4 linked regions of the Medicago truncatula genome follow. The protein of the gene in region 1 binds, or shares a complex with, the protein of each later gene. Links are inferred from orthologs where the notes say so. Each region holds a gene or a part of one and is shown in the gene's direction. Other genes may lie near its edges. The genes, in order: suppressor of mec-8 and unc-52 protein homolog 2, U1 small nuclear ribonucleoprotein 70 kDa, serine/arginine-rich splicing factor RS2Z32 and serine/arginine-rich splicing factor RSZ21.

Region 1 (7,776 bases):
TCTTCATTTTTCTGAAAGTCTAAGATTTCTACGGTGGTAATTTGATTGTCTTTAGTCTCATTCAAAATATGAGTTCCAAGTAATCCCAAAACTTCAACTTGAAATTTCATGAAGATTTCATGTGTACAATTTGCTTTTCAAACAGTGAAGGTGTTTTAAGAATCGGTTCCGTGTGTCATGTATTAAAATCAATTACTTGTTTTTTTGTCTCTTCTCTATCTTGCAAGGAAACTATATATTTTTCAACAAACTCATTTAATGTAGTTTTATTATAACCTACATATTTGTCGAAAAATGAATTAATGCTCTCATATATCTGAGTTGTTGACATACCACAAAAAAAAGTATCCATTATGTAAATAGGAACTCAATGATCATGTTTATCATATAAAGACTTAATTCACCCATACCCATATAATTGAAATAATTTCACAATCTCTTGTCATTTATGTATAAATAGTTGCTTTAACCAAGATATATAAATGCTCGAGTTTAGATATCTGATAAAGTCGTCATATTTCTTAATACATGACAAAACTTCTCAAGAACATTTCTAAGTATATGCCAAAGACAAAATCAGTGTTGAGTGTTTGGAAATATCTCTCTGATAGTCACTTTTATTGCTCTATCTTGATCACATATTATTGCAATTGGAGGTTTTACGCCCGACGTTTTGAGCCATGTTTTCATCATCCATATGAGAGTATTTGAGGTCTAATCTACTAGTAATGTGTAACCAAGTAACCTTGACTGAAAGTTATTATTCACACCAATAAAAGGAGAACATGACATTTTATACTTATTTGTATTAAATGAAATAACATCTCGAAACTCTTGATAATAATCTCTATATTTTTCATCTACTTAAAATAAATTTCTTACATGATATAATCTATGATTTAAATAGTAACGATAACTCATATATGATATGACTATCATAATAAACTAATATAAGAAATGATAACAATAACTCATAATGATATGATAACAATATAAACTTTGATTTAAATAATAACAAGGAAATATGTCGTACTAGTACATGTCAATGGTGAGAAATGGAAATAAAAAAAATAAATAAAGAGTGAAAGCAAGTTAGAACATGAACATGATTTCATTGATAGAGAAAATAGGTTTAATCAATTTTATGAAAGCAGCCAATTTCATTGATAGAGAAGAACCTGAAAGTGAACATGAAAAGAATGTGTGTGTGGGAGTTGGATCACATGAGATAAAAAGTTAAAAGCTAATTTAATAATAAAAAATAAAATAATTAGTAACACTAAAAGGATGAACCAGTCATCAGTAGATTGAATTAAAAAAATATAACACATGACTAATTTTTATTTAATGTGTCAAAAGAGTGAACTAGTGGTGTGACCTTAACATTTCTCTAAAAATATTACCTACCAACACACACACACACACACACACACACACACATATATATATATATATATATATATATATATATATATATATATATAAAAGGAATTAAATTACACTAAAGTAATGTTGAATCAATGTTATACCATTCAATATAGTTTTACTCGATTAATATTTTCAAGTTTGACCGTTAATTATAAGTTTATATCATATAGGTCATCTATGTAAAATTTTATACAAATCGAAAATTATTTGATATGTTTTTGTGAACCACTAAGATTAACGATGTTCTATAAAAATGAATAAATTGTTTATCTTGATGGGTCTCAATAACATATCAAATGATTTTAGTTTTATGTGAAAATTTACATGGATCATCTAAATGATATAAACTTATAATCAAACGGTCAAATTTGAAAAATATGAATCGAGTAAAACGATATTGAATGGTATAACATTACTTTTGAAATGATGCTTGTAATTTTGTTATACCTTATGCCTGTAATTTTTATTAATAAAAATAGTGAGTTGCCTAAGTTTGTTTTGTACTATCAGTATCAGTTAACTAAGCATACATGTGCAGTTTTAGATACACGACAGTTTCATTATTTCTCCTTAACTTGGCAGGTCCAGTGCAAACACAATTAATTCATTCATTTATATTATACATGACATGTCCATTTCATTCCTTCACTGGCAACAAAAATATAATATGGATTGATAATTAGAAAGTTTTTAGTTGAAGCGAGTGACAATCATGTGTTTCGAACAATAATCAAATTTAAGCCGTGACACTAAAAACAAATTTTGTTGTGGAGCTTATATTGTTTTCTTTTATCCATCATTGTCCTTGTGTAAAGGGTTGAGTTTATATTGTGACACTAAAATTGAGAAGTTATACATTGTAAATTCAATATCAAACTAATAATAACATTACCATAATTCAATCAATATTGTAAAACAATCAGATCTTACATAATGTCAAAACACTTAAACAACAAGCCAAGACATGAATTCACAATCAAAAAGGAACAATAACGTGCACCCCAAAACGCTGTCAGACCCCCAAAACAAACAACCAATGTAGCAACAACAACCAGCAGCAACAAGGAAAAAACCCACACCCACCTCTGAACCAACCCAAGTCTCAATGCCATGTTGAAATATTTAATTATAATTTATTTAATTATAATATTCCAATAATTATTATATGGGCATATATATATATATATATATATATGTTTTAATTATTTTATCTATTTATTTTTAAGGGCCTTAATTATTAGTGATCAAATAATGAAAAAGGCTTATTAAGTTTCTATTAAAATAATAATTAATTATTTAAGTGATATGGACTTGGATACGGGTGGATGTTCGGATGGTCCATTAAGGAAATAATGGGATCCTCAATTTACCCTACATGCCTATTGGGTTTCCATTGGTTTCAAACAAGTCAATAAAGAAATAAGAATGATTTAGAAAGTTATTTAAAATCATGCAAAGTTTTCTTGAATATATTTTTGAGTTCGTCTATATTTAAGAGTTTATAAACAGATGTTCCAAAAAAAACATTTATGAGTCCTAAATTTATGTGTAAAAAATCATTTAAATACATCTTGACTTTACAACATGACCAAAATACATCTCGACAAATTTTGTAAGGATAAAAAAAAAGTGTCTTTTTTTTATAAAGACAAAAAAATTGATAATTTTGTCGGAACGAAAAAATATTCAAACTCTCGATGGTAATGTCAACAAACTAACTTACAACTTAGTAGTTACTACTCTCCACCTCAAAATAAAAATAAAAAAACTTAAACTTGCTTCGTCCTAAATTATAAATTGTTTCAACAATTTCACATAAATTAAGAAATCTAATCAATTTTGTATAAAAAATAGAAAGTATTAGGAAAAAAATATGAATTATTTTACAAAATCATCATTCATTGATGATATGAAAAAGATAAAATCAGAGAAATGAAAAAAGATAGAGTAATAAATAGTTAAGAATATAACATAAAATATAAGCTTCATTAAAATTGTAAAAACGACTTATAGTTGACACAAATTTTTCTTCCTAAAATAACATTTTTTGTCAAGTTGTTTGATGGGTTAAAATTCATCTGTTAAGGTAAATAAGTAGAGTATCTGATGTTTGAAACCCGACTCCCATACATAGATAACAATACATTATTTTGTCAATTGATATATACTCACGATGACAAAACTACGGAGGAACTTATTAAATCAATTCTCTATCAATAAAAAAAGAGTAAATAGTCAATTTCCCCCCTGAAATTGTAAGTTTCATCAATTACCCCCCTGAAATTAACAAAACTTCAATTACCCCCCTGAAATTTCACAACGTTAGTCAATTTACCCCCTCCGTCAAATTTTTCTGTTAGTGAACATGACGTTTTGCAAATACCCCCCTGAAGTTTTGCACTTATGTGCAAAATGCCCCCCAAACTTAAAAATTTATATTATTTTTTTCTTAAAAACAAACAATTAATAGTTAAATATTAAAACTAACTATTAATTTTGGAATTTGGGAAAACTACATGCATATATACATCAAAATAGGCTCCAAAATGGGAAAAAATATGTATTTTTTAAAGTGACAATAATGGGATGATTTGTGGATTAATATTGGGGGTTGTGTAGTTTAAATGGTTTGAGCAAATTGTTGAAGGAGTTGGAGGAGTTAAAAGACTAAGATGGTGAAGGAGAAAATATAAATTTAAATCTGATTATTAATTTGTTTATAAACCTCTAAAAATAATAATTTGTCTATTAGAAATAACCATTATTGTCACTTTAAAAATAAACATTTTTCCCTATTTTGATGTATATATGTATGTAGTTTTTCCAAACTCCAAAATTAATAGTTAGCTTTAATATTTAACTATTAATTGTTTGTTTTTAAGAAAAAAATAATATAAATTTTTAAGTTTGGGGGGCATTTTGCACATAAGTGCAAAACTTCAGGGGGGTATTTGCAAAACGTCATGTTCACTAACAGAAAAATTTGACGGAGGGGGTAAATTGACTAACGTTGTGAAATTTTAGAGGGGTAATTGAAGTTTTGTTAATTTCAGGGGGGTAATTGATGAAACTTACAATTTCAGGGGGAAAATTGACTATTTACTCATAAAAAAATTATTGGTCCCGTGAGCACAACTCAATTGGTAGGACAATACATTATTATATGGGGTCGGAGTTCGAATCACGAACACGTGAATTCTAGCCACTAGAACAAAAAAATTTATTGAATTAGTTTCAATAAAAAAACCAAAAATATTTTTTTTTAGAGGCCAAAAATTACTTGTTTTATATCTTTCCTTCAATTCCTCATTTTTTCTTACTTTCGCCCAAAAGTCCTGAAAGTGAAGGATATTTCCGTAATTTAAAACCTCTCTAATCTCCTTCATTCACCAGCAGCAGCTTCACGTCTTTCTTTCTCTCGTTCCCTCGCAAAACCCTAAACCAAAAACAAAACTCAATCCAAAAATTCAATCTCACATTTCAACACTTTCAATCGAGTTTCAAATATGACACAATCGAAGAAAAATCACAAAGATAAACCAATTCGCCGCAAGTAAGTTTCATCCAATCTCATTTTTTTTTACAAAATCATAGTATTTTTTATGGAGTGGGAGGTGCAAATAGTAACTTCTGTGGGGTGCAAATAGTAAAGTGTTTGAATTTGTACAGGGAAGAGAAACCGGAAGAACCAGAATTGCCAAAATATAGAGATCGAGCTAAAGAACGTAGGGAAGATCAAAATCCTGATTATGAACAAACTGAACTTGGTTTTCATGCTGTTGCTCCTCCTGGTACCGTTGATATCAGGTAAAGTTTCGATTTTTGCCTTTTTGTTTTTTAATCAATGCATGAAGCACAAAAAAGAGTTTTTTTTTTGTTGGGTGTGAATTGGCGCGCAACTATGAAGACTAATCTCTCAAGCAACCCAAATGGGTGGCGAACTATCAGTTTTAATGTTGTTGCATACCCAAACTTGAGTTTGAACTCGAGACGATAGTTAAGCTAGAAGAGACTTTTTTTGGTATTGTCTAATGTTGATTATGTTTTATAGGGCATCTGATGCGCACAAATTGTCTATTGAGAAGAGCAAGTACCTTGGAGGTTCGTCTTGTACTTTTATTTTGTTCTACAATGATTAATATTATCTTGGTTTGTGCTATGGTATAATGAAATTTTAACAAACCGGTAGTGTAGAAAAAAGACTTGTAGATTTTGAAGTAAGGTGAGTAGATAGATAGATAGAGGGTATTCGAATCAGAAAGGTAGAGAAAGACGTAGTCATGTAGGAAAACTATATGAGAAACTATTACGAAAGATTTAGATATTATTGAATTGGATACATATACGATATATGATAGAACACTATGATGTCGTTTGATCCATGTAGCCGACCCCACTTAGTCGGAAAAAGGCTCGGTTGTTGTATTGTTCTAAAAGCTGTCTTGGTTTGCAAAGAAATAGTTAGTCTTAAAGCAGTGTTGTCAAATAGCAGCACTGTAGTTTAATGAAATTTTAACAAATGACTATTTGTTCTCAAAACTGTCTTGGTTTGCAAAGAAAGTTATTTTAAAAGTAGCATTGTCAACTGGCCGTGCTATAGTTTAATGAAAGTTTAACAGACTGCTATTGTTCTAAAAGCTGTTTTGGTTTGCAAGGAAACTGTTAATCTAAATTCAGCGTTGTCAAATGGCTGCGCTATAGTGTAATGAAATATTAATAAACCACTGTTGTTCTGCGATACACAATTTAGTACAAAGTTTTGTCAAATAGCAATAGGAGACTGGTCTGGTTTGTTACATTTTTGGCTCTCTGCCATGAGCCATCGACAATACAGATAGCGTGCTTTAGTACTGTAGCATAGTGGAATTGGAACAAACCAATATTTTTTGCGATCTGCGATTGACACACTGCATAAAAGCTTGTTTTAGGTCTCTTCTGCATGTTCATAAAATTGTTAATTACTATATAATTCTTGTTTCTGGGAAGGTTTATTACTTTGGTGCATTAGAAACCTAAAAATAAATTGAACATTCACTTGTTGTTGTCATCCTCATCATGACAATAATTCAACAACTAGAAACAATGTCTTTTCCCACTAGATGGGGTTGACTACATGGATCAAGCAAAGTTGTAATTTTTTTATCATAAATCTTATCGAATAATATAATCTTTTAATGCTTTTGTATATAGGTTATTTGGGTCTCCTTCTATACCTAGTTATTAGAGTCTGGACTATATTTAATTTGCTCTAGCCTCCTAATCGATACATCTATAGGTGTCTTCCAAGAATCTCAAAACATCGTAAATGAGTCTCTACTAGTACTAACATTTTTAAACAATGGGGTCTACCCCTACTTTTTCTCTAATACTTTTGTTTCTACTTTTATCTTGCTGTTTGATCACTTATCCATTGTATCATTCTTATTTGTGCAACACTGAACTTACCTTTTCATAGGCTCTTTACTACCCAACATTCAGTGTTGTAGTTGTGCGATAAAAGTGTCATCTAATTCTGACTTCTGAGTGGTATTTTTTTGTCAAATGTTACCCCTAAGTGTTCTTCCATTTCATCTACTCTGGTTGGATCTTGTAATTGACATCTCCTTCTGTTTCTTCGTTATTTTGTGAATTAGACCTAATATTACCTAAACCATGCTGCTTAGTAAATAGTTCATTCTCCAATTTTCACCTCGAATTTAGCAATTATGTACCTCCTTCCAGATCATCAATGATTTGTTCCATAAAGATTTAACAAAGTTTTACGTTGGTTGTTATTTGTCTAACGCAACCCTCCTTATTTGTAGGAGGGGGGCTGGGTCGGGCTTTGTGATGCACATACGCATAGTTGTCATCCTAAACCTCGATGATCTCAAATTTCCATATATTGTAGACTCTAATATCTAGTGAGTAGGTTTTAACTTGGAATTTTGAATTTCCTATGCTGCATGCCTCGTGATATTTTCTTATTCAGGTTTATATTCTTACGCTTTTGATTACATTTTGACATTCTTGCTTTATGATAGAGTAGGTTAAAACATGAAGCCCTAACTGAATGTGTTATTTTAATAACTTACCTTGTTTGCGTTAATTACATTGGTCAGGTGATGTGGAGCATACACATTTGGTTAAAGGTTTGGATTATGCTTTGCTGAACAAAGTAAGAAGTGAGATTAAGAAGCCAGATGCTGGGGATGATGGCGATGGGAAACCCAGGTGACTGAGTCAGAATTTTCTGCAGTAGTAGTTATGTGGTTGTACTGCTATCAATTAAAGCATTTTATTGTCCTTTAAAAATTGTTTAGTAAAATTTGTTCTTTTGTAGGGCACCCAAGGAAGACCAGAAAGTGT
Region 2 (7,992 bases), on another chromosome or scaffold:
TTTGAATAGACATGTGTATATTGCTTTGTCCCATTAAGCTAATAAGTTAGAAGTTAGAACTGCACAAATTGTGAGGTTTCCATGTTTCTCTATCAGTTTACTAGTTTTGGTATTTTTGAGCTTCTGCATTTTCCTGTGAGAAGGATCAAGTAATTGATAGTGAAAAAAACCGACAACGCCTTATTACAATGCAGATATGACAAAGTTCAGAAAACAAATAATGTTAAGTCAATAATTTGATAGCCGTGAGCACTAGAAACATCAAGCAACACTTCTTATACATATATAGCTGAATCAAATCAAATCAAAGAGAATAATATTGACAATTCTTGATAAGAAGTGTGGTGTGTTGTTATTGACAAACGAGAATGAACGTCCTAGTTTTGGAGCACTGTTGGGGACTTTTGAGTGTTTGAGATTCACATTTACACAGTGCAACTTAATACAAACTAATTTTATTCATTAATTATTTAATATTTTTGTATGTAGTATGTACTTTAGCATTACACAAGTTTATTTTTTGAATTAGAGATAAAAAAAATTATAAAAATAGTTCATTACTCATTAATGTTACATGTAGATTGTATTACAAATGTTGTGATTGTTTCACATTTATGTTTTATGAACAACTATAGATCAAGATTTTGATCTCCTACATCCGTCTCGTTTGAGTTATGTACACTTCTTAAAAAAATAGTTATGTTGCTTATAATGGTAAATAATATGTTAAGAGTAAAATTTCCTTTATACCTAATTCTCCTCATTTGCAACCGGTCATTATTGTTTAGTATTTTTTATTTCTCGTATGTTGTAGTATATAAATGCTTAGATTGCAACATTTGTTTTGTTATAGTATACTTAACATTATTTGTTAAGGTGTATGAATAGTTGGAGCACCTTAGTTCTTAAAAAAAATATTTTGTACTTTAAAGAAATCCCAACACAAGTATCTAAACATGAGATTAAAGTTTTTCGTATCCCACCATAATTGTTCTATATATAAGCACCAATGCAAAACAAAATATGTTTACTATAAATGAACACAACACTAAAATACCGGTGAATTATGATTAATTTTTGATTGACAACCGAACTCATGAAAACTAAATCTTCATTACGAAGAATAGTTTTTATTTGAAAGCATTACGAATAATGGTTTTTATTTGAAAGTGATGACTGATCTTAAGAATAGTAGTCATAAGATTTTTCTGATGACTGATCTGAAGATTATTGAACTAGTGCTAGCTGTTGTTGCCGATGTTTTCTTGTCCTTTTTCTATTGCATTCACGATCTCCCACTTTCTATGGAAATGTAACAAGTTTTGTAATTTGTGAAATGTACTGTAACTCGAGTTGAGTTAAGAAATTTATTGATTTGTTACTTTTTTGTTTATAATTATTATTAACAAGGTATACCTATAGAAATACCTGATAGGTCGATTGTTGAGATAATTTGTTTGTTGAAAGTGCTCCGTTTGTTAGAGGATAAGATGATATCCCCAACTAGTCAAACCATCTCAATACATTTTGCGAGAGAATTTCATGAAGATATATTGACATTTGCAGTTGAGATTGAGGCAATTGTTGAAGAGATTCAGTTCCAACAATTTTCTCATGAGCATCGATGGTTTTGTAGTTGACCATCTATAACTTGAGGTTGAATTTTTTAAAAATGAAAATTATATTGTGTGCTCACAGAAACATGATCGGAACTTTATTTTTTTGAACATAAAGAAAACCATAAAAGAAAATGTTTTACCATTATGTAAATGATTATTTTACTAAGTAGACAAAAATGATTTAGTTGTCATTATTTATATTACTTGTATTACTGATGCTTATTGCAGAATGAATCACCATTGGGTTTGAAAACATAGTTAACTCTCCTAGGTAAATTTAGGATGATAAAGTGTTAAATCTTTAGTTTTATATTTTTAGTTACATGCCCATTTTTATTTCTCTTGCGTTTTGATATGTGATTTCAACATGATTTTTTCAAAGCTGCAAATGTTAGCTTTTGAATAGACATGTGTATATTGCTTTATCCCATTAAGCTAATAAGTTAGAAGTTAGAACTGCACAAATTGTGAGGTTTCCATGTTTCTCTATCAGTTTACTAGTTTTGGTATTTTTGAGCTTGTGCATTTTCCTGTGAGAGAGATCAAGTAATTGATAGTGAAAAAAATTGACAACGCCTTATTACAATACAGATATGACAAAGTTCAGAAAACAAATAATGTCAAGTCAATAATTTGATAGCCGTGAGCACTAGAAACATGAAGCAACACTTCTTATACATATATAGCTGAATCAAATCAAATCAAAGAGAATAATATTAACAATTCTTGATAAGAAGTGTAGTGTGTTGTTATTGACAAACGAGAATGAACGTGCTAGTTTTGGAGCACTGTTGGGGACTTTTGAGTGTTTGAGATTCACATTTACACAGTGCAACTTAATACAAACTAATTTTATTCATTAATTATTTAATATTTTTGTATGTAGTATGTACTTTAGCATTACACAAGTTTGTTTATTTTTTGAATTAGAGATAAAAAAAAATTATAAAAATAGTTCATTACTCATTAATGTTACATGTAGATTGTATTACAAATGTTGTGATTGTTTCACATTTATGTTTTATGAACAACTATAGATCAAGATTTTGATCTCCTACATCCGTCTCGTTTGAGTTATGTACACTTCTTAAAAAAATAGTTATGTTGCTTATAATGGTAAATAATATGTTAAGAGTAAAATTTCCTTTATACCTAATTCACCTCATTTGCAACCGGTCATTATTGTTTAGTATTTTTTATTTCTCGTATGTTCTAGTATATAAATGCTTAGATTGCAACATTTCTTTTGTTATAGTATACTTAACATTATTTGTTAAGGTGTATGAATAGTTGGAGCACCTTAGTTCTTAAAAAAAATATTTTGTACTTTAAAGAAATCCCAACACAAGTATCTAAACATGAGATTGAAGTTTTTCGTATCCCACCATAATTGTTCTATATATAAGCACCAATGCAAAACAAAATATGTTTACTATAAATGAATTTTAATATAGAGATGCAAAACTCTCCAGTTATGTTATAAAGAACACTCAAAGAAACTTGTAAGAAACCAAAACATATAAGAACCATCTTTGATCTTATGTTTAATTAAGTTTGTTATCATTAAAACATTAACTCATAAGGATTTTTGTGATATTCCTCAACATTTGCATCTTCAATGACAAACACTTCTTTTGTTGTCTCGTCGTTTGATTTCTTGTGAGACTCATTGTCTGTTGTATTGTTACCATAAGCTTTCAGTTTACCATTAAATTATTTATCTTAACTATCAAATTGATTCCAAATATTGTCAACGAATAAATACTAAAAACTAAAAAAACGTGTTTAATTGTTATTTATTACCTTTTGAATGTTTGACATGAAGTTTCATTCATGTTCAGCGTAACCTCCAATTTATTCATGCAAAAGTGTGGAAAACCACTTCAAATTCTCTTTGTTTTCTATATCCACAAATATATGCTATTATAAATGTAAATTTGCATACGAAAGCCTTAAAGAAGTTCCAGTCCTGGTGGTTGAGTGGCAGTTAGGGATTTGGTGGCACAATAATGAGATGAAAGAACTCTTCATTTGAAATTGTGGCTAACAGCAAGAGAAGAAGACACGTTGACCGTTTGCGATAGGGCATGCAATAATGTGTTACCCATGGAAGTAAATACAAACAAAACATAAAATTGTATTAGATAATCAATGGATACTTTACGTGCAATGTGTATGCAAATTTAAAAAGGTCCTAGTTTCTACTTCATTGTCTATTTTCTTTATGGTAAATTTAAATTGTCTATTTTTTTTATGGTAAACTAGCGAAAACAAATAATTTGAATTGGTTTTCAACACTGTTGCCTGACGACCTTTGATGCTACGTTCAACATGGATGAAACTTCATTTCAAATATGCAAAAGGTAATAAATAACCGTTAAACATATTATTTTAATTTTTAGCATTTATTTGCGAGTATCAGAGATCAGTTTGATAGTTAACATGAATACTTTAGAAGTCAATTTGATAGCGAGTGACATAATTCAAGGACGATCTTGATTTTCAATGAATAATTTAGGGATCGATTTGACATTGCAACAATTTGTAATGACTTTTATTTCAATAAGGAAAAAAAAAAGGAATTCACAATTTCAATCAATTTCCTCATCGAATACATGACATTTGAGTTTGCAATTCACGTTAGTGCTTAACGTTATATGTCATCACTGTTAACGGTGAGATTTGACGGAGGCATGACGTTCGCAAAATTTAGGAAAATTTTCGTTATTTCAAATAATTTGAAGACGAAATTGAACGATGTGTGCAAATTCAAGGATGAAAATACCTATTCACTTATAGTAAAGCTTAGGCTTAAACACCCTTTTGATCCTTTATCTTTATTTTGACATTCATATTGGTCCCTTATTTAAAAAATGCGCAAATAGGTCCTTTTCATCCATCAAAGGCCAACAACGTTAATTGCAGTGTACATGACCATGTAAGTTAACATCTCATTCTTCCTACTTTATCAATTCTCCTATAAATCAAAATTAAGGTTCATTGGAACCCATATATGATATATCCCCCTATTCTTCACTCCAAATTAGAGATTGACGTCAATATTCTTTCTGTATGAGCAAAAATGTCAAAATCACGAGATTTATCATCATTATTCCTTTTTGAAATTGTTGAACAATGATATAGAGAATAGATCCAACACAAATTCACATAAATCTCATACTTCAAAACCATGAATTCGCATGAAAAAGACTAACACGATACCCAATTAAACAAATTAAAAGATCTTTCTATATTTTTTTTTTAATAAGAGACCAATATAAACTTCAAAATAAAGGACCAAAAAATATTTAAGCCTAAATCTTTATTAGCCCTTTGTGACTCTTCAAACACCTCCAAAACAGACTTATGTTATGCTTAAAAAGCGTACTTTTCCTCCCCTCACTATAAATACTTCTCAGTAGCAGTCAGGTTCGAGATTCAGCTAGCGCTCGCTCATAGCCGAGACGCAAACCGGATCTAACGATCTCATCAATTCAATTCTCTCGTGATTTCATCGAATCTTCACCATGGAAGATCCTCTTCTGCGCAACCAAAACGCCGCCGTTCAAGCTCGTACCAAAGCTCAGAACCGCGCCAACGTCCTTCAACTCAAACTGGTATAGATTCATACTCTTTCCCTCACTTTTCGTTGTTAATTTGACCTAAGTTTCTTCATAATTAACGAAGTTGTTGTTGATTTTCAATAGTTAGGGTTTATTGTTCGTAACCCTAGATATTAGATTAGTTAATTTTTGTTGATTAATTTGATTTGATTGTAATTGATTTGATGCAGATTGGACAGAGTCATCCAACTGGATTGACTGCGAATTTGTTGAAGCTATTTGAACCTAGGCCGCCGTTGGAGTATAAACCTCCACCGGAGAAACGAAAATGTCCTCCGTTAACAGGTGTTTGATTATTGTTTTTGTTAGGTCTACATGATCATTTGTTGTGAATTGATGTTAATTATAGTTAATTATGCAATTAATCCTTCGTTTTATGTTTTTTTGTTTAGGGATGGCGCAATTTGTGAGCAAATTTGCTGAACCTGGTGAACCGGAATATTCTCCGCCTGTGCCAGTAGTTGAAACTCCTGTAATGTTCTGTTCTTTTGATACTAATCATGCTGGAATTATTAGTTTTAATTGTGTTAAGCATAGTTTCGTAACTGAGTGTTTTTTTTTTTTTTTGTCGGGCATGTCTTTGGTGGGTTGATTTGATGCAATGAGTTTATATTTTTTTTAGTATATTTATTTTTTCATATATCTTTTAAAGTTTATTATGCTTTTTAGAAGATGTCCTTAAGAAAACAGTTAAGTTAACTAATTATTAGTTTGCAAAAAAATATTTGTCCTCAGAAGTGTTTTGTTGCTGCTATATTCTGTAGTTAAGTTTTACTGTGTAATATTGTGCAAGCACAATGTTTAACTGGCTAAATTTGACTCATTGCGCCTGCTTTTTTCTACGGTACTAATTCGTTCTAAGAAAATATCCGAATCAATGTTGTGGTCATGAATAACAAATAGATAGTTTGGGTACTCAACATATTAGTTGAAAAATACAATTACTATTGCATATTCAGTCTTTACCAGGTTCCAGTTTTTCTTCAATTTACTTAAACAAGTGGTTATTATAATGTATAGTTAATGTAGCAATTGGCATATAAAAGCAGTAAAGTAGTTTAAATGCCAAAGCCCTTGTTTCAATAGTGAAGAGTATAATAAAGGCATAATCGCTGATCCATTTTGGTATACTCAGGCAGAAAGAAGGGCAAGAGTGCACAAGTTAAGACTGGAGAAGGGAGCTGCAAAAGCTGCTGAGGAGCTTGAGAAATGTGATGACTCTTATATATACTGTTTTAAATTTGTTGATTTTTGTGGATTATGTTATCTGAATATTTGTTGATTTTTGTGGATTATGTTATCTGAATATTTTTCTATATGTTTCAATGTAGATGATCCACACAACGATCCAAATATATCAGGAGATCCATACAAGACTTTATTCGTGGCCAGACTTGTAAGTTATATTTTCCAATAGAGTAACTACTGTGCTTTTTCATATTGCTTGTCATATCTTATTGATTCCATCTTCCAACAGAGTTATGAGACTACTGAGAGCAGAATCAAAAGGGAGTTTGAGTCATATGGTGCAATCAAACGGGTAGGTATTTTGAATATGTTCAAAAGGGTTCGGTAAGCTTATCATCTATGTGTGGTTCAAAACTTACTCTATTTTACTTCTTTTTGACATCTTTACAACTTTTGAGCCTTCAAACTGTATTATTTTCAAATTCAACAATTTCCATATACAGTGATGTATCGCAGAAAACAAAATACTAGCTATTTGAGCATAATACAATCTTTATACCTTTCCTTTTGCCACTGAAGAAAATGTTTTTTGTGACTTGAGAGGTTTTCATGACTAAATAGCTTATCAGGAAATCAGTCTGCTATGTGTAATATCTATCTCATCCTATCCGAAGTTTCAAGGGTATAGAATACGAACGTTCCTGATTTAATTTGTCAATTTTAGTGGTTTTGAAATGGTAATAATCAATGCTTTTGGTTGCTCCACCAATTTGTTGTTGATTGCTTTTTATTTATTTTCTTTTGTCATTTTCCACTTTGCTCCATTCCAATTGTTAATATAATATGGATGGGATATCTTGGGGCTTTGGGTCTCTAGAAATTTTTAACTGCAAATTTAACATCTTGACACGAGAAATGCTAGAAACACTCTTTCTAACACACTCTCGATCAGAGTCTCCTATTGCGTGAAACTCATGTGGGCCTCACCACTTTATGTCGGACCCATTTCCAAAGTGTGGTACTTACATGAATTTCATCCAATAAGAGAGTGGGTATTAAAGAGTGTTAGAAAGAGTGTTTGTAGCTCCCCCCTTGACACAAACACCTGGTAATGGTTTATCATCTTAATATACGTCCCTGGTAATGGTTGATTATCTCGATCCACATCCCTGGTAATGGTTGATTCTATAACAATAAAACCCAAATTCCATTCAAGTGCTTCCTCCTGCATGGTATTTTAGTTGGTAAGAACAATATGCAAAATTGTGCCTTTGGCCTTGTTTTCGATCAAGTAAAGGAGACTGACAACTTCTGTTCTTTTCCTGCACTGGGTAAAATATGTTGGGTGTATTTCAATCTCTTCCCTTTTTTATTAAATTCTTAGTTAGCCTACATTTGATGTTGCTATAACTTTATTTTTGGCTTTAAAGGCTATCAAAACAAAATCAGCTGTTGAGAAGATGTTATGGTATTTTCTATATTACCCAGAGTTGTTTCCATTTTATCAATTTTAAAAATTAATATCCCTGGTAAGGGGACACTAGTCAACACCTGGTTAATTG
Region 3 (7,426 bases), on another chromosome or scaffold:
AAACGGTCTCTACTAAACTCAAGACGGATGCCGGAATTATTCGGAATCCGTCTCGGTGCAGTTCTGGTTACCGGAGGAATCTTGGCCACCATCTTTTACCGTCTTGACGATTCACCAAAAGGTGTTCAAGAGCGTTTGGGTTTCTTCGCCTTTGCCATGTCAACAACCTTCTACACTTGTGCTGAAGCTATCCCCGTTTTCCTTCAAGAGCGTTACATTTTCATGAGAGAAACTGCTTACAACGCTTACCGTCGTTCTTCCTATGTCCTTGCACACTCCATCATCTCTCTCCCTGCACTCATCTTCCTCTCCTTCGCCTTCTCCGTCACCACTTTTTGGTCTGTTGGACTTGCCGGCGGGACATCTGGTTTCCTCTTTTACTTTTTCACCATTTTAGCTTCCTTCTGGGCTGGGAGCTCCTTCGTCACGTTCCTCTCCGGCGTTGTTTCGCATGTGATGCTTGGTTTCACCGTTGTGGTTGCTATTTTAGCTTACTTTCTTCTCTTCAGTGGATTCTTCATAAGTAGGGATAGGATTCCACCTTACTGGATATGGTTCCATTACCTATCACTGGTGAAGTACCCTTTTGAAGGAGTGCTTCAGAATGAGTTTGATATTAAGCCACCAAGGTGCTTCGTCAAAGGGATTCAGATGTTTGATAACACTCCGCTTGGTGATGTCCCAGGGAGTTTGAAGGTTGAGCTGTTGAAGAGCTTGAGTAGTACACTAGGGACTAACATAACGAGTTCTACTTGTGTTGTTACTGGAGCTGATATACTGAAGCAGCAAGGAGTCACACAACTTAGTAAATGGAACTGCTTGTTCATCACCATTGCTCTGGGATTCTTCTTTCGCTTCCTCTTTTACTTGGCGTTGCTATTTGGGAGCAAGAACAAGAGGAAATAGACACAAAAATCATATTGTAATAATCATATTGAGAGAGTATTGTAGCATGAAAACAATATTACAAATAGGTTCATGTATCATTGTGATTAAGGCTAGTTTAATTATCAACGGTGATCTTGTGCTTTTCTTTTAAAAAAAGATGATGATTGTATTTCTAGTATAATTTTATTTTTTAGTTGGATTAATTAATTGGGGCTTCTACGGTGCAATTTTTTTTTTTTTTTTTTTTTAAGTATTGAAAAAGTTATTTTTTTTAGCTAATAATATAACTGCAAATGTCATGTCTAGTGTCCTGCTAGTGCACCACTCTAAAACTAAACTTTACCTTATTACAAATCAGTCCGCATACAAAATATTAAGGGAAATTTCAATCTTAGTGCACAAATGATAATCTATGTTTAATTTTTATTTAATTAGGGACACAAATTGTAATAAGTAAAGATATAATGACACAATACATAAATACTTAATGATTAATCATTTAACTTCACCAGAAAAGTCATTCTCATAACTTCACCGTAGAATTTTCCTTAATTTATATATATCCTCAATTTATTTTCATGCTTAATCTTTAATTTTCTAGTAGTTTTCGTTTACCTCAAATATCACTGCAAATTTAGATGTCAGATAGCACTCATACTCTAAAATGTTCATGACTTTTAACACATGAATCACCTCGTCCCTTATTTTAGAGAAATTTCTAATTGATCTCTAACTTTACTGAACATTGATTAATTAAGTCGCTCTATCAATAGTTCAACTCGATTATGTGGCACATTATGTACCTAGTTGACAAAAACTTCACAACACACAATGAGACGTAAGGGACCACTCTGCATTGCTTCTATATTTAGCTTCGAGTATGTGCCGGTTTCATCTTCCCTATTGAGGAAGTAGAATCGCCGGCCTAAGGTATTGATTTCTATAAGGTATTGGCAAAGAGACTCAGGTAATGACCACAGACTTGCTTTCAAAGAATTAATCGGCATTTATAAAAGGGGGGTATTTGGTGCATGGAGTGTTGGTTGTTCAGGAATTTGGTTTGTGCGAAAAGGTTAAAAGAATAGCTTAATCTGTAGATGTTGAAGAAACTTACAATTCAGTTGGTTGGAATTTTTTTAATATATGTTTAGGGAGTTGGCTTTGACGATAGGTGGATGGGTTGGTTGGATACGGGCTTGTGTTTTCTCTGGTAGTTTGCCGGTTTTGGTGTATGGAAATCTAAGGGAGGAAATTGCTATAAGTAGAGGTTTAAAAGCGGTAGGATAGCTGGCATAGTTCTTATCCTTTTGGTGGCGGAGGGGTTGAGGATCATTAATGAGAAAAGCGGTAGGATATAAATATTGTAAAGGGTTCCTAGTGGAGAATCCGGAGGTGGTTGTATCTCATCCACATTATGTTGATGATACTTTATTCATTGGTGAGATTTGTATCGATAATCTTTGAGCAATGAAGGTAATATTTAAGTGGATTTAATTAATGTTCGGGTTAAATGTTAATTTTGCAAAATGTAGAGGAAGTAACGAAGATTATGAGTTGCAAAGTGAGAATTTTTTTGTTTACTTATCTTGGCCATCTGGTGGAGCAAATTCAAGAAGAGCTTCAACGTGAAACCCGATGGTAGAGGCAATAAATAAAGGTTACATTCTTAGAGGAGTAGATATGTTAATTTTGGAGGAAGTGTGGTTTTTATTAATCTAGTATTGGGATTGATCCCAACATTCTACATGTCACCTTTTAGAATATCAAGTTGTGTTTACCTCGAAATTGTCCTTTTTCTATAAGGAAAAAAAAATTGTTTAGTTATTATACATTTCTTCCATTTAGAAAAATGAGTTTGTTGAACTCGATCAGTTCCTTCACGCCTAACTCGCCGCAAAGGAAGTTTTTGTGGGGAAGGGTGACAGAGGAAAACAAAAACAAGTTGAGTAAAATGGAGTGAGGCGTGTAGGCCAAAGTTATGTGGTGAGTTAGGAGTGAAGGATTTGGTGATTTTCAACATACTAATTTATCTAAATGGAAGTGGTGCATGATAACGAAGCATATGTTTTTCTTCTTTTGGAAGAAGGTATTGAAAGCAAGTAGGATTGGAATGAATAAGAAATATTCAATATGGTGGAGAGACTTGAGCAAGGTGACCTTATTAGACGAAGGGGAAACTGATTCTATAAAGTAGTCGGGAGAAAAGTTGGTAATGACGTTAATATCTGGTTTTGAAATGAAGTTTGGGTAGGAGAAACACAACCACATAGTTTTTTCAAGATTATTTCTATTGTCGAACCAAAAAAATAGGTGTGTGGTAGATATTGGAAAGTGGGTCCTAGATCCGTCATTGCTAAACACGACCATTTTCGTATGGCTTAAATATGTATTTCATCCTTGCAATTAGGAGTCGTTTAAAAATTGGTCCATGTATTCGCCAATCCTTGCAAACTAGCCTTGCAATCATTAATCATTTAAAATTTCGTCCATTGCCACGTGAAATTGAAGAAAGAATTGAAAACCCCGGGGTAAAATTGGAATTTCATGTGTGACAGTGATTGCCACGTCATCAAATTAGTGACGTGGCATTGATTAAGTGGGGAGAGGGACGAAATTTTAAATGATTAAACAATACAAAGGTAAATTGCAAGGATTAGCGAATACAAAGACCAATTTTTAAACGACCCCTAATTGCAAGGATGAAATACATATTTTAACCTTTATGTATTCATGTAGGTGAATTTATAAAGTATACACCAAAGTCAATCAAACCACAACTATAGCGATTAAAAGTATACTCTCAACATCAATCCGACACTCAACAATTGTTTCACAAAACCACAAAGAACAAATCGACTATAGGGTCAGAATAATAAATGTTTATGGTGCAAGTACAAGTTACTAAGCTATTTTATTTTTGGCAAATATCCTATTATAGGTCATTACTTTGTCCACCCTACGAGTTTCTTGCACACCTTTTTAGATATTAAGATTTGAAATATTTCAACGTGTTTTTAAAGGTTTATAGGGTTTTTATGAAGTTTGGATTCTAAAATCCGAACTATATAGGGCGCGTGAGACCTCGCAAGGTGGAAAAAGAACACGGTCCTTATTATAAGAGACAAATTTTATGGTATACTAAAAAATTTGAGTGTACCGGTACACCAAATCGTTAAATTAAATAATTAAACGAGTTGCTTTTTTAAGAAAAACAATTGTATTCTATCATTAACAATTATAATATTGAATCTATTTATCAAAAGTGTCGACGAAATAATTTTTTTTTTTTTTGTTACTCATAACAAAGAATATTTATGATTTTTTATGAGAAAATGTTAAAAATTTAATATGATTCTTATAAATAATAAAATGATAGTTTTTCTTATAAAATGATATTTTCTAAAATATAAATATTGATAAATAACTTTTTATTTTATAAAATGATCGTTAAAACAATAAATTTATGTGATGTATCGCAGAAGATCCCATTATAAGATCGTATCATAAGAAGCCCACTAGGCCCATGTACCCAACTTACTCCAAAAATAAGACATTGGCAGCGCACTTGATATAAATAGTGAAACGCAAGGTAAGAAGCCGATCCAGTTTCAAAGTGTTAGGTTTTCGGCAATCTCCTCCAAGGTACCAATCCTCATTCTCTTCTCTCTTTTCCCCAATTCAATTCAATTTCATTTTCCTATTCCCTTTCAATTTTTTATTTTTCCATCGGATCTTGTAATTGCATGCATATCGCCTTCAATTGATTCACCCTTTAACCATTCAATTCCCAGTTTCCAATTTCATCGATCGGTTTGTATTTCTCTGTTTTTCGATTTAAATTTCGTAGCTTGATTTCAATTAGATCTAGACAATATCTATCTATGCTCGTATTTTTTTTTGGGTGTTTAATTTCAACTGTTTATCTACTTTACCATCAAGAGAAAAAGAGATTTTTTTTTTTGTTTCCAATCACTTTGTTGATTCATAACCCAATTTCAGTTATTGATTGCATACAGCTAGAAGATATCGACAATGCCTCGCTACGATGATAAGTATGGCAATACCCGCCTCTATGTGGGTCGTTTGTCTTCACGAACTCGTTCCCGTGATCTGGAGCGGGTCTTCAGCAGATATGGAAGGTAATTTTCAAGTTTTACACTGATTTAATTTCAATTGCATTCACAATTGTTTAATTGGGTTTTGCTTTATGCAATTTTTGTCTTTTGTATTATTTTGTGTGCAATTGTTAGTTCTATCACATTCCATGTCTGGTTGTGTATCTAATTCCTAGACTATTAGAGGAGATCCCAGACCTTGTTGTGTTTGTCGGATTTGTTTAGGCTTTACCAATTTATGAATGGAAAATTATTACCATGTCTCCTTGTGTCACTTCCTTTGTTGATTTGCAACCGAGCTAGATTAGTGATGGGTTTGGCATGGGGTGCCATTGTCTGTGGGCCTGTTTGGATAAACAACTTATTTGCAGCTTATGTATATGCTTACATAAGCTATAAGCTATTTCGTTAATAATAGATGAAATAAAGTTAAATTCTTTTTGTATATGTTGCAAGTTGTTTTCATAACCTATATTGGAGAACTTATGAAAATAAACTCAAAAAAGCTTATTAAAATAGTCAAAAGCTGTTTTCAAAAAATTTCTTCAACAGTCTCACTAAACTTAATTCAGTAGATAAGCTCAACTAAGCCAATCCAAATAGGCCCTATTTCTAAAGTTAGGGAACAATATACAGGTTCTTTCCAAGCTTTGTTTTGGGCTTGGATTTATGTTGGTTATACCTCATGTTATGCGTGGGAACCGTATCCCACAGGTGTCATTTTTAACTTAAATGATCTTGTTGAAGGTTTTTGGGTTTTCACTAAACCCGGAGGTCTGTGGTGGGAGGGTGGCCTTGGTGTAATCTTGGTGTAATTGGTGGAAATTCCTACCTGAGTGTTGACTTTGGCGATTCTTTCTGTAATGTTATTGCGTGTTTTTATGGAATTGGCAACAATCACAAACTGGTGTTTAGTTCGTCTTTGAGGGGCGAAGTATCATACAGTTCCAGTAGTTAAGTAATGATGGCCTTACTGTTTATGGAAACCATTTCCGCAGCGTTCGAGATGTGGATATGAAGCATGATTACGCCTTTGTTGTAAGTTCTTACCCTTTCCCGTGTTTGTTACTTTTTTATTTTCACTTTGATTTCTGTTCTTTGCTCTGCCCAAAGGTGGCTTCTATTATCTCTACTCGGGGGGAGTTCAATTATAGATTGTGCGGTAAGATTTGTGTTACTTTTGTGGCTTGTTCCTTACATATTTTGAGCAGGAATTTAGAGATCCTCGAGATGCTGATGATGCAAGATACAATTTGGATGGTCGTGATATTGATGGAAGTCGTCTTATTGTGGAATTTGCAAAAGGGGTAGGAATTAATTTCCGGCTGTACTTATTACACCTTTTTTTTTTGTTTCTTTGTTATGTCTCTTTTATAATTAGCTTTCAAGGATTTTTTTTTTTTTTTTGTATTGATGTTCCTTTTTAATGCTGATGCTTTAGATGTTTCATTTGAAAGTGCTTGCTCCATCCATGTATATATTTGACGAGTGTCTAATCTGATAGTCGCATATAATTACACACTCCCTTTGATTTCATATATAAGCAAAAATTGGTCAAAGGAAGTTTATGAATTTGGTCCAAATTTTATGTCAAAGATAGTTTTTGAATTTTGTCCTAATTGGTCCAAAATTAGGACCAAATTCATCACCTTTATTTGACCAATTTTTGCTTTTATTTGATTCCGGAGATAGTATTGGCAATTTGCAAGGGATGCTTATCTGTATGTCTGTCCGATATCTGTATGTCTGTATATCTGTATGCAAGGGATATTTTTGCTTTTTGATATCCTTATTGTCTTATAGTTCACTATTCTTGCTTTTTGGCACATTCTGTTTTAAATTTCTAATTGGGATTATCCCTTGAAGATGAATAGAAGAGCCTTCAATTTAACTTTGTAATTTTCAATGAGGTTTACTAGCTTTATTTTGGTTTTGGAATTGGTAACTAACTCTTTGATATCCTTATTGTCTTATAGTTCACTATTCTTGCTTTTTGGCACATTCTGTTTTAAATTTCTAATTGGGATTATCCCTTGAAGATGAATAGAAGAGCCTTCAATTTAACTTTGTAATTTTCAAGGAGGTTTACTAGCTTTATTTTGGTTTTGGAATTGGTAACTAACTCTTTGATAATCCTTATTGTCTTATAGTTCACTATTCTTGCTTTTTGGCACATTCTGTTTTAAATTTCTAATTGGGATTATCCCTTGAAGATGAATAGAAGAGCCTTCAATTTAACTTTGTAATTTTCAAGGAGGTTTACTAGCTTTATTTTGGTTTTGGAATTGGTAACTAACTCTTCCTCTTGCTATATAGCAGCATAATAAAAAGTAATTACGTTAATGACAACATTAGCAGCACAATAAAAAGTGATTAATTTATGATTACATTGTTGGTCTGTTGTCTTTTATTTTTATGGCTTG
Region 4 (7,165 bases), on another chromosome or scaffold:
TTAACTCAAAATCACCCCTTCCATGCAAGAAATAGAAGAGAAAACCTAAATTGAGAAAGTTATGGCCGACTTATTAGTTTTCTACGTATTTGTTGATTTTGTTTTGAAAAGTAGACACGTCTTACGACGAAGAGGTTTACAAAATGACGAAAATACAAAATTTGTTTAGATATAATTCATGAGAAAGTACACACTTGTCGCGGGTGGCTCTGAAGGTGAGCAAGAGGGACGACGGCCTATGACACCATTTTTCTAGGGGCACTAATTATATTAAAATATATTAGTTCGTACAATATAAAAATATATTTTGTTTTAACTCACTTTGATTAATTATATTGAAATATATTATTAGAGAACATTGATTATAAACGAGTCCTTTGCAACAAAAAATTTAATAAGAAAAACATTCAAATAATTAAAAGGGCACAACTTGATTTATTCACCCGGGGCATAAAAAATCTTATACCGGTCATGAAGATTGTTCATACTTATATGGAGTATGGCCCCGTTGAATTTTAAAAAATAAAAAAAAATCACTTTTTTCATTTTTAAATGTTTGTTTAGGATTTTTAGAAAAATAATTCTATTTTGACCCTAAAATGAAAATTTATTAGGATTAACTTTTTTCAAAATTTATTATTTTTCAAAAACAAGGAGGTAAGACATGTACAAGTTAAAACTCTTTTTTTTTTTAAATGAATTTTTATGGATAGTAGGCAAACAAAAATAACTTAAAGATTTTTTTTAAAATTTCTAAAAAAATACCTAAATTCTTTTAACATAAAATCTATTTTTTTAAAGCTGAAACAAACATACGCTATATAATGACTTTGTTGAAATTCAAAACTCAATGTTATAAACAAATGAATGTGATTTTGTGGTTTTCTTTTCAGTGACTTATATATATTAGCTTTTCGTGTTCATATTGAAAATTAATAGCATTAAGTTGTTATTTGTTAACATAAGGTCTTTACCTTTTAGATTTGTGAAATGCTACTTCAAACAAAAAACAATTCACGAATGTATCACGAAAGGAACATGGTTACTGTAGCATACTTTCATTTTTAATTCGAGAGCGGCATTACTATTTGGATAATTACTCAAAGCATGTTTCTTTAGTTTCTTTTAGCACCTGCATTACTATTTGGTTCTTAAACAAAGAACGAACGATCTATATTTTAATATGCATTTTATTTTTTAAAATAATAAAAAAAATATTAAATTAAGAATCTGAACCGTTTGATCTCAATCTACAATTAGATTATCTTGAATGTGTCAAACCACATTACTCCACGTGCATATTTTGTTTGGACAGAACTACATGTATATGTTACCATCTGATATGGCATCTATTTGGTTTCCTAATAATGTTTTTGAACAAAAAGTTCACTTTTTAAAGTTCACGTGAAATGAGATTTCATGTTTGACTCACGACAGATAGAAATAAAGACATGATCACCGATACAATCCCATTTATAATCATCTCATATCTGGTCCACTGATAATTGGACAATTCATTTCATTCATTAAAATCGGGATACCAAATCAACTCTTTTCTTTTTGTTTTAACTCTCCAAGTTCTAAAGGAAGGAGTTATAATCCTAAATTCAGTTAAGAAGTAGGTAAGCTCCGACAAAATTTTGTTCTTGCAAGGGTTTAGACTCAGACTCTTTCAAACAATTCATCATTAACAGAAGATCATTAACCACTTGATGTCGATCATTTTGTTGATCTCAAAAAAATTCCACAAATGAATTTTCAACAGAGGGTCTAGATTCACACTAGAAATAAATAGTCAGACAATCCCTTCACAACTAGTGATCTTACTAGGCATACTAAGTTAATGTTATTGAAGACTTAAGAAAAGCAATTATCTTCCATCTTCTTTTGTTAAAGTCAACATTAACAACGTTAAACAGAGAAACGCCTCTAGTTTCTCTAAGTTTCATGAGAACGTGAATAATAACTTTTTTTTTTAATCGGTAAAATTTAATAAAATTGAAATTCTCGCAAGACGTAAAGAGACGGCAGGAAAAACAATACAAAGATGCCGCATATAGGCGTTATAGATCTACCCGACAAACACTAATTCACCGCAACCGAAAAGAAAACGGCGAACAAGCACAAAAGTTTATCGAATTAACACATACCTTTCTCAAATTGAGCAACTGCCACCTAAACCAAGCAAGCTTGTCGAAATTTATAATGCTTATGCATAGATTGTTCTATGATTTTATAATTAAGTAGATTAAAACAAAGATGCAATGAAAATAATAATAATGGCAAATTAAAAAAACCAAGGGCACATTTTGAAGAAACAAAATCCATGTCCCTTCTTTAATTTTGGCTATTTTGCATGTTAGTTCATGAACGCATACAATTCCAACCTTATAAATGAATCTCTCCAAAGACAAAACAAGCTTGGTGGATCGCACGCTCTATTGCGGCCTGTGGATACCATATGACACATGCTCACTCAAAGTCTAAATATTCATATCAAAAGGATCACTCAAGAAGGACGTCTGTCTGCAGAAGTATGATACGTTCGCAAATGCACGAATTTATCATCGTGATAAAAATATCAATCCACATAGACTTGTGATCAAGTTTATTTTTCTCCTTAATGTTTAGCTAGATTTGTTTTGATTGTTGAGAGTTTTATATTTGATTTGATTTAGAAAATATGTAATTTATAAAAGATTTGCTTTGGAATATTGGAGTTCATAACTATAAAGAACAATTCCAAATCCAATCCTTTCTAGTGTTGTAAGAAATCATTACTTAAGGATGAGGTAACTCTAAATTATCATTTGCTCTCCTTCAAGATACAAATGGTGTGTCCTACCATCATAGCTTCGTATTCTTATGGTAGTTATATTGGTAAGACTCATTGTGCCCCATTATCTATTTCATATCTATTGCTTTTACTTTGTAGTGATTATAAAATCCTGCATCATTATATAGTTATTTTAGAAGACGATATGGTTTTCAAGACTAAATCTAGTTCCGGTTGAAGCAATTTTGATGTTTAAACCACTTCAAAGCACAAAGAGATCATGCTTTAAATTTGCCTTGAACAATGAGCACAATAAATGTACTATTTATAATGTTTCTCAGTTACCATCAAATTGACCTCTATTTTTCGATTTATTACTCTATCCAAATAAAAACATTTAAAAGTGAAGACAATGCCATCGAATGATTTGAATTACATAGAATTTTAATTTCTCTAATACTCCCTCCGTATCAAATTGTATGACGTTTTGGGCATTTCACACATATTAAGAAATGCAATTAATAGTGTGGAAAAAAGATATTATGAGTTGTTTTACAAAATTATCCTTAATAAATAATATGGGAAAGATAAATGAAAGAATTGAAAGAAGAGAGAGTAATAAATAATTAAGGTTATAATAGGAAAAGTAACATTAATGTTGCATTGATATTGTAAAGCGACATATAATTTGGGATAAATTTTTTCCCTAAAACGACATACAATTTGGGACGGAGGGAGTATATTCAATTACCTCGTCCAAACTAAGGGTGTATAAAACCTGTCTCGCTCCAAATGCAAGTGACCGAGTTTGACCAGGTAAAAAAATGGACACAAATAAGGGACATTACAATGACAAAACTTAAATAGAGACCGTTTTTTAAATATTATTTTTAAAACTCTCACATTCCACTATATTCTTTAACACACAGACTCACAATTTATAATTTGACTTAATTACAGTTTTAGTCCCCCTTATTTTTACTCACTCATGAGATTTGTCCTCCCATTTTAAAATCATTCAGTTTAGATCTCTTTTACATAGTTTTGAACTTATAGTGGTCATTCTTATTGTCACATCATATGACACGTAATTCAAACTATGTCAATTCACCATCACAATTTTTTTAGTCTAAAAATAGAATAAAGTGACTAAAATCGAGTGATTTTAAAATTGGGGGATTAATTTTGCGAATAACTAAAAATAGTGGGATCAAAACTAATTAAGCCTTAAAATTTTTTGTGATGGTTTTGTGTTCTTGAAGTTGATGTTAAAAATTTGATATCTATAAATATATTATATCATATTCGAGACACTTTGGTGTTGTATTTTAAATATCTAGCCCAAAAGTGAAGAAAGTAAGAAGGGGGTTTAAAAGCAAATTATTAGAATACCCAACTAAAACTAATAAGCCCAAAACGCCATCGTTTGAAGCATTAGAAATTCTAGGGACTTAACACGCTCACTCACGATCATAGAGAATTCTGTACAATTCTTTCACTTGCAGGTGATCTCTGATTTCCCAAACTGTAAAATTTCGTACATTTTCTTCTCAAATTTTTCGTTTTTTTTTTGGGTGATGATTAGTAACTTTTTCGTTTTCACAATAATAATTTTGTACAGGTTTTGAGAGAATGGCTAGGGTTTATATTGGGAATTTGGACCCTCGAGTCACTGAGAGGGAACTTGAAGATGAATTTCGTGTGTATGGTGTTCTTCGCAGGTAATTTCTTCTTCACTCTCATTCAACAAAGAAAATTTATTTGAATTGATAGAAATATTTTCAGTTTAGGAATGATTACATTGAAATTGTGGTTAATGATTGAGTTATCAGTTAATTATTTACGTCAAGTTGATAATTATTTGTAAATTTGTTTTTTTTATTTTTTTTATTTTTATTTTTTTATAGTTATTTATTTATTTATCAATAATTAGTTCGTTATTGTCTGCATGAACATTTTTATGGGAGAAACTAATTAAGTGAGAGTAAAGAGAATGGATAATTGAAGTAAATTCAAAGAAGGCATAATAACGGTTCATTGGTTAAGATTTTGTCTAGGATAGATGGCGCCACGGGTTTGATCCTACTGCAACAGTAGATATTTTCTTATTTAGTTATTTTAATTAATGTTCTTTTTTCCAAAAAATGTGAGGAATGTGAACTCCCAAAATGAAAATGGCAGGTTCGATCCTGCGATCATTCGGCTGAAGAAAGAGTACTTTACCGCTGCTACACCATTAATTATGTTCTAATAGGAGAACACTAAAATATGTTGTAGATAAAAAATATATACAAATTATTTGGAGGTCTAGATTTATAGGCTAAATATTAATGCAAATTAGAGGCCTAAAGCCATTGCTTTAGTTGCTTTATGGTAAGGCCAGCGTTGTGATTAACAATATTGATATAGGTTTTGTTCATGAACTTAGTTTTCATTTTGTTTGTGTTACACATTTTTCATAATTTGTTCCATTATTATTGATTTAAAGTCTTAAATTTTAATTATTGTTTTTTGCAATACAGTGTCTGGGTGGCTCGCAGACCACCAGGATATGCATTTATCGAGTTTGATGATCGGAGGGACGCCCTTGATGCAATTCATGAATTGGATGGTAAGTTTCCTATTTGTCAATTTGTCATCATTGTTGAGTGTATGTTGTTGGTGATTAGCATTTGTCTTTCTTCTTTTTATGCATCATATTGAGATTTGGGGTTATCATAATGTATGAATGTCGTATAGGAAAAAATGGCTGGCGTGTAGAGCTTTCTCATAATTCTAAGAGTGGAGGAGGAGGAGGCCGTGGTGGTGGGCGTGGTGGACGCGGAGGGGATGACCTCAAATGCTATGAATGTGGTGAACCTGGACACTTTGCTCGGGAGTGCCGTTCACGCGGTGGTTCACGAGGCCTAGGAAATGGAAGGAGACGAAGTCCTAGTCCTTATTATCGGCGCCGTGGAAGTCCAAATTATGGTTATGATCGCAGGTATGTTATGTGCACACGCTTTATATGAATCCAAAAAATTCTGCATTTCAATAGCAACTTTTTCAATTAGCAAGCTTTTAGCTTTTTATTTTGTTAGAGTTTGGATTGGACGTCATTGTTAAGGAATGCAAATATCTTTGATACATTGATTGCAAAACTGTACTTTTACGCACTGATATGGGAACAGGAATTTGTTTAGAAAATGTTAACACAATCCATAACCTGCTTGAAGTTGGTGAAATAATCAACGGCGTGCATCATATCTTTTTTATTTTTATATTTTTCATATCTTTCGCCTCTATTCGAATGAAATTCAATATCTTTGCTGAGGTGCTTGCTTGTGATTGTTCTGCAAATTATGTTGGGGACAACACTTTTTCGGTTCTCATTTTTAGCGTTGTCAAATGTTGGCCATGCCGGATTGCGGTAGTGTATTTTTTGACAAACGCCCGGGGAAGATTGTGAAGGATGGTGGCGTTTTATGGCGGATATGGCAGATTTTTAGCTTTCCGACATGATCATCCATCCCCAACTTATAACACTTCTCATTTTATGTACTTCATAGTTTGCCTTTTATTCCTTGTTAATTTGGTAGATTTGTTGACTTCTTTATTGCAAGCTCTATTTAATTGTCAATTTGTATCACCATTTCACATCATTTATTTAATTGAAATTTCTCTCTGCTTGGGAAAATTTAACTGCAATGATTTATAACATTCTTAGCCTGTCCTCTCACTCAGCCTGGAAAGGATATTCATAAATCATTAACTAAAATAAATTCAACTTAACCACTGAGTGGCTGGAAAAGATCTCAATGTCAAATTGACAACATTCATAATATTTGAAATTCCTCATTTCCACTGTACAATTTGTAAGTGCATTATAATAAGCATCTCAAACATGTCATTTTGTAGCAACCATTCTTTTATTGATATATTCATCTTCTCATGTTTTGTTTTCATTTGGGTTCGCTTCATTTTATCAGGAGTTATAGCCCGCGTGGGAGAAGATCTCCAAGACGACGTAGCATAACACCTCCTCGTGGTCGTAGCTACAGCAGATCCCCTCCTCCATACCGTTATTCTCGCCGTGATTCACCTTATGCCAACGGGTACGATTGATTATGTTCAACTCAGTTTCTCTGATGATGTGATTTGAGTTAATGAATGGCATGAGAATTGAGAACTTATTACCCATATTTTAAATCTTCCCTTTTCTTTTTTCCAGAGATTAAGATCTGATTGTGAACAGAGCAAATGATGAATAATTGTTGTGGAGCCCTCTCTGCTATAGTCTAGTTTCTCTAGGATTGGGTGAGCATACAACATACATGTTAATTATGTTATGTCATGACAATGGAATGGGTATTACTATGAACTTGGATTGCTAAGTGTTGTAGCCGCAAA

Evidence for each region.
Region 2: suppressor of mec-8 and unc-52 protein homolog 2 (region 1) and U1 small nuclear ribonucleoprotein 70 kDa share a complex: the UniProt entries of both Arabidopsis thaliana proteins name them as parts of the spliceosome. The link is inferred for Medicago truncatula from reciprocal best matches to the Arabidopsis thaliana genes SMU2 and U1-70K.
Region 3: suppressor of mec-8 and unc-52 protein homolog 2 (region 1) and serine/arginine-rich splicing factor RS2Z32 share a complex: the UniProt entries of both Arabidopsis thaliana proteins name them as parts of the spliceosome. The link is inferred for Medicago truncatula from reciprocal best matches to the Arabidopsis thaliana genes SMU2 and RS2Z32.
Region 4: suppressor of mec-8 and unc-52 protein homolog 2 (region 1) and serine/arginine-rich splicing factor RSZ21 share a complex: the UniProt entries of both Arabidopsis thaliana proteins name them as parts of the spliceosome. The link is inferred for Medicago truncatula from reciprocal best matches to the Arabidopsis thaliana genes SMU2 and RSZ21.

The regions. Positions count from the first base shown.
Region 1 is NC_053043.1:19,409,784-19,417,559, forward strand, and holds the start of suppressor of mec-8 and unc-52 protein homolog 2, read left to right. Parts: upstream 1-4,759; 5' UTR 4,760-4,934; coding exon 4,935-4,981; intron 4,982-5,097; coding exon 5,098-5,235; intron 5,236-5,479; coding exon 5,480-5,529; intron 5,530-7,529; coding exon 7,530-7,641; intron 7,642-7,750; coding exon 7,751-7,776. UniProt on the Arabidopsis thaliana protein: Auxiliary spliceosomal protein involved in splicing of specific pre-mRNAs that affect multiple aspects of development.
Region 2 is NC_053049.1:35,603,309-35,611,300, reverse strand, and holds the start of U1 small nuclear ribonucleoprotein 70 kDa, read left to right. Parts: upstream 1-4,974; 5' UTR 4,975-5,146; coding exon 5,147-5,236; intron 5,237-5,412; coding exon 5,413-5,527; intron 5,528-5,634; coding exon 5,635-5,714; intron 5,715-6,377; coding exon 6,378-6,453; intron 6,454-6,573; coding exon 6,574-6,638; intron 6,639-6,719; coding exon 6,720-6,782; intron 6,783-7,992. UniProt on the Arabidopsis thaliana protein: Mediates the splicing of pre-mRNA by binding to the loop I region of U1-snRNA.
Region 3 is NC_053048.1:47,217,103-47,224,528, reverse strand, and holds the start of serine/arginine-rich splicing factor RS2Z32, read left to right. Parts: upstream 1-4,417; 5' UTR 4,418-4,530; intron 4,531-4,887; exon of another isoform or gene 4,888-4,904; 5' UTR 4,905-4,920; coding exon 4,921-5,027; intron 5,028-5,750; exon of another isoform or gene 5,751-6,001; coding exon 6,002-6,041; intron 6,042-6,214; coding exon 6,215-6,310; intron 6,311-7,426. Other genes in the region: ABC transporter G family member 20, read left to right, coding at 1-906. UniProt on the Arabidopsis thaliana protein: Probably involved in intron recognition and spliceosome assembly.
Region 4 is NC_053049.1:29,287,160-29,294,324, forward strand, and holds the start of serine/arginine-rich splicing factor RSZ21, read left to right. Parts: upstream 1-4,144; 5' UTR 4,145-4,281; exon of another isoform or gene 4,282-4,303; intron 4,304-4,397; 5' UTR 4,398-4,408; coding exon 4,409-4,497; intron 4,498-5,298; coding exon 5,299-5,387; intron 5,388-5,515; coding exon 5,516-5,759; intron 5,760-6,744; coding exon 6,745-6,870; intron 6,871-6,986; coding exon 6,987-6,993; 3' UTR 6,994-7,165. UniProt on the Arabidopsis thaliana protein: Probably involved in intron recognition and spliceosome assembly.